Linked DNA regions of Mus musculus. The protein of the gene in region 2 interacts with the protein of the main gene of each other region in a pairwise test. Links are inferred from orthologs where the notes say so. Each region holds a gene or a part of one and is shown on either strand. Other genes may lie near its edges. The genes, in order: Smad3 and Cpsf7.

Region 1 (3,814 bases), on a different chromosome or scaffold from region 2:
GTGCCAGCTTTATGGGCTGGGAGGGCGAGGAGAGACACAGTGTTGCTATTTCCGCTTCGAAAATAAATGACGGCACTGGGGCCCCGCAGAAGGGTCACAGGGTCCTCTGTGCCAAGAAAAACATCGTTAGGGGAGCTCCAGCCACTGATCATTCCCGGCAGGGATGCGGTTCAGAGTCAGGGCTCAAGAGCCTGCTGCTGTATGCCCACGATCTGGAGAAGATGGGGAAATGGCACCACCCCTGCCTCCTGGCCACCTCTGCTGCCACCCGTACCTACCTGGAATATTGCTCTGGGGCTCAATGCCAGCAGGGAAGTTAGTGTTCTCGGGAATGGAATGGCTGTAGTCATCCAGTGGGGGGAACTCGGCCGGGATCTCGGTGTGGCGTGGCACCAACACTGGAGGTAGAACTGTCCCCAAGAGAGACACAACAGAGGTGGATCAGTGCCAGCGCACTGAGGTCCCAGCCCCAAGGGCTTCTGAGACCCTCCTGAGTAGGTAGGAGGGGGAGGGCAGGGACACACTCACACACCTGGCGTCTCTACTCTCTGATAGTGGTAAGGATTTACACACACTTCATCCTTCTTCATGTTGAAGGCAAACTCACAGAGCTCCATGGCCCGTAATTCATGGTGGCTGTGCAGGTCGGGCCATCGCCACAGGCGGCAGTAGATAACGTGAGGGAGCCCCTTCCGATGGGACACCTGCAGCCGACCATCCAGTGACCTGCCATGGCAAAGAAGGAACAGAAAGTGTCAGTTAAGTAGATTTGGACTGCCGTCTCCTAAGTCCAGCTCCCAGCAGCTCCTGGGGAGTTCAAGGCTGCTGGCAGGCCCATTTGCGTTCATTTCTCCCCTAGACACAGGGGACCAGGAGGTCTGAGCACCACTGTTAACTGTTCTTGCTGAACAGGGTCCCAGCTCCCAAAAGAAACAAGGAGGCCCACTAAGGAAGGCTGAGGTCCCCTAGGCTGGAAGAGAGGCTCTTGTACCCAATAGGCTCCAGGGTTCTCAGAGTAGCAGCTCTCAAGGAAGGGGACCTTCTTGAACTAAGCCTAAGTAGATATACATGCCACCAGTCTGGCCCCGTAGAGGAGACTGCTGAACAGGGTGGAAGCCAAGTATAAGACTACAAAAGGAAGCTGAATGGCCTGGAGAGCTGACCTGGCAGGGAGTCCTACTTTTCTCTGAAAGCAAAAAATGGCCTCTTAGATGTTGAATGGACTGTGTACGTGTACACATGTGAGCACAACAGGCCCTACAATAAGTCTGGCTGTGTGGGGTCCACAGGTTGGGAGGCGGTGGGGTGGCGAGTATAGATTAGGAGAAGCAAGACTGTCCTTTCTACAAGAAAGCTGTTCTAGGAGCCCAGGGTTGAGGGCATGATGTTTTTTAGTAGCTGGGCCAGACTAGCAGAGGGCCACTGAAAGCTGTCCCTCTGTCCCTATGGCACGTATGGGTCTGAATTCAACAGATTTTATGAGTACTTTATAATAGAGGGGCTGGCCAGATGTGTCAACCAGAGCCAACCAGGGTCCAAATAATCTCCAAGCTACTGGCTTGGAATAGGGAGGGACAAAGGTCAGTGCTAGGCCTGGTCACAGGGACTGAGAGCTGCTGACTAAGGACTTGTGGAAGGATGTAATTACCTCCCTCCCATGAGGCCCAGACCAAGGAGCCCCTACAGCTGAAAACAGTAATTACAGAGCTGAACAAGAGAGGACAGCCTGAAACTAGCCCTTGAGGCACAGGAGGAAGGCAGCCAGATGTGAAATCCTAAGACCTGAAGATGCTCCTGACTATGCAAGCCTGGGCACTAGGACCCTCAACTGCCCCATGTGTAAGATGGGGACAGTCTCCCCTCACCTGATCTCTACTAGAAAGCACTTTGCAGAGCACCACCTGGGGAGAAATCCTCTCAGTGTTACCGGTGACTGCTGTTATTCTCTAAGCCAGCCCTAGGCAAGCGGGGGCTGAGTTGGGGTCAAAGAAGAGGCAACAAGAGAGTGGTTCGTAGTAGATGGAGACAAAATCCTTCAGCTCCCCTCACTTTCTTTACCGAAGTCCCCAAAGATAAGGGAGGTGGCCACACTGTCCCTCCAGGGTATGACATAAGCCTCAACACAAGGTTAGCTGGATGCTGTGGCCACCTCTCTGATGGGAAAGAGGGGGACAGGAGAGAAATGGCCAGAGAAGGGCCATGCCAGCCATGAGGAAGAGTGGAGCTGGAGAGTCCCTCCTGGGCACTGGGAGGGGTATCCTCTTGCTTTCAAAGTAACAACGGGTGCTAGGGAGACGATCCACTTAGCAAAGTACCTGCGTTGCGAGTGTAAGAACACAAGGAGTTCTGTCTCCAGAACCCATGTGAGAAGAGCTGGCTTGGGTAGTGCACAGAGGAGGCGGGACAGCCAGATCCCTGCCTAGCCTATATGGTGAGACCAAGGTCAATGAGACCCTGTCCCAAAGAATAAAAACAAAGTGGATGGCACCTGAGGAACAGCAGCCAAAGCTACCTTCTGGCAGCCACAGACATTCGAACATGTGCCTAGGTCCCTGCACACATCAGCATACCTGCACACACACAAACCCACACAAGTACACATATACATGCACAAAGACAAACAGTAGATGGAAAAAAAAAAAAGCAAGAGTGCTTCCATCATCAAAGTAGTGTGCCGACATCCTCAAAACTGACCATGACACCAATAAGACCCAACAAAGACCGTCACATATACATGGGACATTGACTTGTATCGAAAGTCCAAAGACACACCAGCAGGGACGGGTTAATCCTTTAGCAGGTGGTGCTGAGCCTCCTGAAGATCCACACTAAGAAAAATGAACTTCAACCTGCACCTTACACCTCTGTAGAAACTAAGGGTCAAAGAATAAATCTCAAACCATTGAGGAACTCTGTGACCAGACAGTGATTTCTCAGCTGCTCCACCAAAAACACTGTCCGTAAAAGTCAAAGTTGACATATCGATACAATGGGACTCAGGAGAGAGGCTTCTGATCGGTATAAAACTTGGACAAAAAGAGAGGTAACAAGTCAGAGGAGAACACCGGCAAAGAATATATCTCACAGAGGTCCTTTCTAGGATAAAGAATGCCAAAAGCAACCCAACATTCAAATAGCAGGTGATTCCCTTAATCAAATGCTAGTTTAAAAAGTTAAAGATGGCAAAGATGTTCTATGTCATTACTAAGAAGGAAAGCGTGGATTAAATCGAAGGGACAGGAGAGATGTCTCCACAGTTAAAAGCACGTGCTGTTCTTGCAGAGGAGCAAAGTTGGTTCCCAGCACCCACACAGAGGTTCACAAGCATCCGTAACTCTAGTCCCAGAGTCTCTGGTGCCTTTTTCTGACCTCCTCAGGCACTGGGCACACACATGGTACACAGACATAAATAAATGCAGGCAAAATACCCATATACATAAAGCAAAACGTAACTATATACAATGAGATGCCACCATATGACCATCAGAACAGCTGTAATTTAAAAGGACCGTGTGTGCCACGTGCTGGCAATGGTGTGGAGCAACCAGAACTCTTAAACATCACGCATGGAAAACAGTGATACAATGGCTCTGAGAGACAACTAGGGAGTTTCCTTAAAAGTCCAAAGCAAAAGCTTGCTGTAATAGTTTCTTTTTCAGTTGCTGTGATTAAATACTCTGACCAAAACTGTGATGGTCAGTCTCAACTGTCGATCTGATGAACCTAGAAGAACCTGGGAGATGGGTCTCTGTGATGTCTGCGGAGGATTATCCCAATCAGGTTCACTGAGATAAGGAGAGTAACCCACTCTGGG
Region 2 (3,914 bases):
TTCAGTTTTCCCCATATCAACATTGCCTGCTTGGTATAAATGTCCACATACTAATTTTGGCTTTAGATCAGAAAGTCCTTTTTTAAAAAAGTTAATTAATAAACAAATTACTGAGGGTAATAATGTGTACCTTGACAAAGCCGTGTCCACTGGACAAGAACTGTGTCTTGTCTATGACCCCTAAGTTATAAACCATTTATTCCTTTTTTGTTTTTAGATCAAATATGGCCCGTGGTCAACAACTGTCTATTCTCTGAAGTGAATTAGTTACAGTACTAGTCAATGACATAGATTCAGAATTGGGGCTATCTTTCAGTAATACAGAACTAAGAGAGTCTTGTTAAACAAAAAGCCATAAACTTCAAACGACAAAAGTATGACTCAAATAAACACATAAAACTCAGGAAAGCAAGACTGCAGAGAGGGCTCAGTAGCTAAGAACACTTTGTCCAGAGGACCTGAGTCTGGTTACTAGAATCTATATCAGGTGGTTCACAACCACCTGTAACACCAGCTCCATTGGACCCATACCACTAGGCTCTTTGGGCACCTACAAACCAGGCACACACACAAAATTTAAAATACAATAATGGGACATATGAGCCTCTTTTGTTGCCTGTCAAAGTCAGGCTACCACCTAGGCATTCTAGCCCATTCTTTCCAGGTCCTTCTGTGTACCCACTGGAACACACCAATGACAAGAACCAGCTAGCTCAACAATAACAGTACTAAAAAGAACCCAGGTAAGATAAAAATTTTAAATAGAAACTTTCTGTTGAGTTTTGACCTCAAGATTGAAGAACTCAACCTCACAGATTACTATCTTACGGGATACTTAAATGTTAAAACACACATTCAAACTAGGATGACTGAGTCCTTGACTTGCCTTTAAACTAGTTTATTCAATGGTTTTTACCTTTCTTCCTTCCATCCATACGAATGGATGCCCAGAGACTTCTCAAAAAGGACAGTCAAGCTATTTAAAAAGACTGAAACACTTGGAGTGGCACTGGAATTCCACCTTTAAAGCAGTTGGTATACTGTGGCTTTTAAAGTAATTTCATGGTACACCATTGGGAGGGGACCAAGCAGGGGGAGGGACCAACATGCTCGAGCCACAAGTTGAGAGAACAGCAAAGTAACAAGCATCGAAATTATCTCCGCAGTACTACAACAAATGTAATTTTCATTTTTAATTATGGTTAGTCATTCAACTTTGAAATGACTTGGGGAAAGAATTCCACAGGCTGATTCACCATACTATTACACTTGGGTTTTTATTTGCTCTTAAAGCAAGCCCTTTAAAATTGAAGCCTGGAGGTTCAAATTAACCTAAAGAGGAATGGTCAGTCGTCTTCAAAGCCACCGCTAGGGGGAAACGCTTCGATATTACAGGGAATTATTTTGAGCTGAGAGAGAAACCACTGCCAGTAGATTGATGGAAGAAACCCCAAAACTGCTGCTAATTCCTCTCACCTGATTGAACTCTTCATCAGCGTATATATCAATCAAATCCACTCCTTCTGACATGGCTCCGGAAATACGCTCTCGAGCCCGGAGAACCGACAAAGTAAGAAAGATGCCACTACGGTATTCAGAAAAGGGTAAAAAATTTTAAGGCACAAGGGTCCCAGGCTGGGAGGAGGGCAAGGGTCAACAAGCTCTAGTCTCCCAAGACGCAGCATCCCGGCGGCCGGGAGCCTGGCCCCACCCGCTCTGCCCCGCCCCCAGCCTCGCGCCGCCCCCAGCTCTCCCAGGCCGCTCGGGCTCGCGGAGCTCGCTGCCCATCACCCGCGGGCCCGACCCGAGGTGCTCCGAGTCGGCGCCCGTAGTTGCCTATGGCGCCACCGCCAAGTCCGGGCCTCGACTCCTGAGAGGGCCCTCAGGCCGCGCTGTGAACCACCGCGGCGAACGCCGCAAGCTCAGCCCGTCGCACCTGCTAGGCCCAGGGGGCGTCCCAAGCCGGAGCCCCCGCGGGCCCGGAAGCTCCCGCCGCCTCCACACCAACGGGGCCCTGTCCTCGCCCTAGGCTAGGCCTGCCCTGCTCCCTCCCACAGCTCCAGGACCTCAGCCCCTCCCTCAGAGGCCCGCGCTTCCCTCCACCCGCTGTCTTCCGCCGCCGCCACCCCAACCGACCCCCTCCCTTCCGCGGCGCCGGCCCCCGCCCTCCTTCCGGCCCCGCCGGCCCCGGGCCGCGCGCCCCCGTTACCGGGAATATGGCGGCGGCCGCGGAGAGTCCCGACTAGGCCCGAAGCGCGCGAACCGCTCTCCGCCCCAGGTCCCGCCCCCCCCCCACCGGCGGCGTCACACGCACCGCTACTTCCGCCATACGCTCGGTTGCGCCTTCCGGCTTGGGGTCCACCTCCGCTGAAGTCCTCAGATCGACCGCCCGGAATTCCCGGAAGTGGCCCGGTTGCCAGCTTACTGTGCTATAAGAGAGAGATGGCGGTGGTCACCTTGATCCCGACGCTGGCGCGGGTGAGAGAGCCGGGTTCGGGGCGGGCTGCAGCTAAGACTGTTTCGTCCTCCTCTGTGCCGTGGAGACTGTAGGGAGAGTTCACCTACCCCACAGACCAGGGAATGGTCCCCTCAAGGCGAGGCGCAGGCTGGAGCCGATCATGCAGGGAATTTTCCATTCTTTCCTGAGCCCACGGTGTGCTCGAGTGAGAATACTGGGTAATATGTGGTTAGGTGGCCAGTCACCGTGTGAGACTCAACGCATACCAGGAACAGTTACCGAACCTCCCCCGAAAGCCTCCTAGCTTTTCTTGAGCTTCTTCCCCCGTCTCCCTTTTAAAAGCCGGTTTTAATTTGTTACTCAGGCTGGCCTCAAATTCGTAATTCTCCTGTCTCATCTTGGTTTTAAATGTTTGAGAATTTTCCGTTTTTATTCCAGTAGTGTTGAAAGCTAGTTGGTATGGTTTATCTTAAACTTATCAAGACATGTTTTTTGACAACTTGTGATCTCCTGGGCATAATTATCTGTACATTTGAGAGGAATGTATGATCTCTTGTGTGGAATGCCTGTATATCTCAGTTAAATATTCTTAAATTAGTATTGTTCTGGTTGTCTAGTATTGATTCCGACATCTATATATTCTATTCCTTATTAAAATGTGGCATTAAAATCTGTTGTGTTCCCCCACCAGTTCTGTCAAGTGTCTCTTCCATATATTTGAGTGCTCTATTAGATCCACATATATTTATGATTATTATACTTTACTGCTAACTCCTTAATACTATGTAATATTCTTTATATCACATATGACAATTTTGTTGTTTGTGCTAAGCACCAAACCCAGAGCCTTGCCTGCTAGGCAATCGCATTTTCTTTTCTTATTCTTTTTTTTAGACTAAAAAAGTATGTACATGTGTTTATCTGCCTTTGTGAGTTTATGCATACTATGTGTGTAGGTGCCCATGAAGGCCAGAGGAGGGTGTTTTAAGTGTGTCGGTGTTTCTGCAATGCTGTAGTTTTGTTAACACTCTTTTAAGTTGTTCAGTGTTCCCTCCTCCTTCCTTGCTACCCTGTTTTTTAGGTACTAAAACTCCTCAGCTTCATAGTAGTTCTGATCTAGCCTCTCAAGTGCGTGGATTACAGTCATGAGGCACCATGACCAGCTGGTTGCTCTGCTCTCTTATTCTCAGTGGCTACTGGACTTCTTAGAGTATGCTGGTTAGTGTTGCAAGTTGTTCAAAACAGAAACCAACCAGTCCCTTCGGCAATGCCAACCCCCATGTTCTAGAACATTAACCATACATTCAACTCTTCCTCGAGCCTCGGGGAAGAGGCTTGTAAACAATACTAGATTTTATCTTGCTTTATCTTCTATGGCCTTCTGCACCAAAACTAAGCAGCTCTCTTGGTCTCTATGGTCCCTCAGCATCTGGAATGGGCTGTGTCCTGTTGTTGC

Evidence for each region.
Region 1: the proteins of Cpsf7 (region 2) and Smad3 interact in binary tests that used the Homo sapiens proteins (3 or more experiments, as listed by UniProt). The two-hybrid records come from large-scale screens. The link is inferred for Mus musculus from reciprocal best matches to the Homo sapiens genes CPSF7 and SMAD3.

What each region holds. Positions count from the first base shown.
Region 1 is NC_000075.6:63,667,197-63,671,010, forward strand, and holds part of Smad3 (mothers against decapentaplegic homolog 3), read right to left. Parts: intron 727-3,814; coding exon 533-726; intron 411-532; coding exon 279-410; intron 1-278. UniProt on the Homo sapiens protein: Receptor-regulated SMAD (R-SMAD) that is an intracellular signal transducer and transcriptional modulator activated by TGF-beta (transforming growth factor) and activin type 1 receptor kinases.
Region 2 is NC_000085.6:10,523,623-10,527,536, reverse strand, and holds the start of Cpsf7 (cleavage and polyadenylation specificity factor subunit 7), read right to left. Parts: upstream 2,294-3,914; 5' UTR 2,210-2,293; intron 2,044-2,209; exon of another isoform or gene 1,937-2,043; intron 1,586-1,936; 5' UTR 1,531-1,585; coding exon 1,477-1,530; intron 1-1,476. Other genes in the region: Sdhaf2 (succinate dehydrogenase assembly factor 2, mitochondrial precursor), read left to right, coding at 2,443-2,478.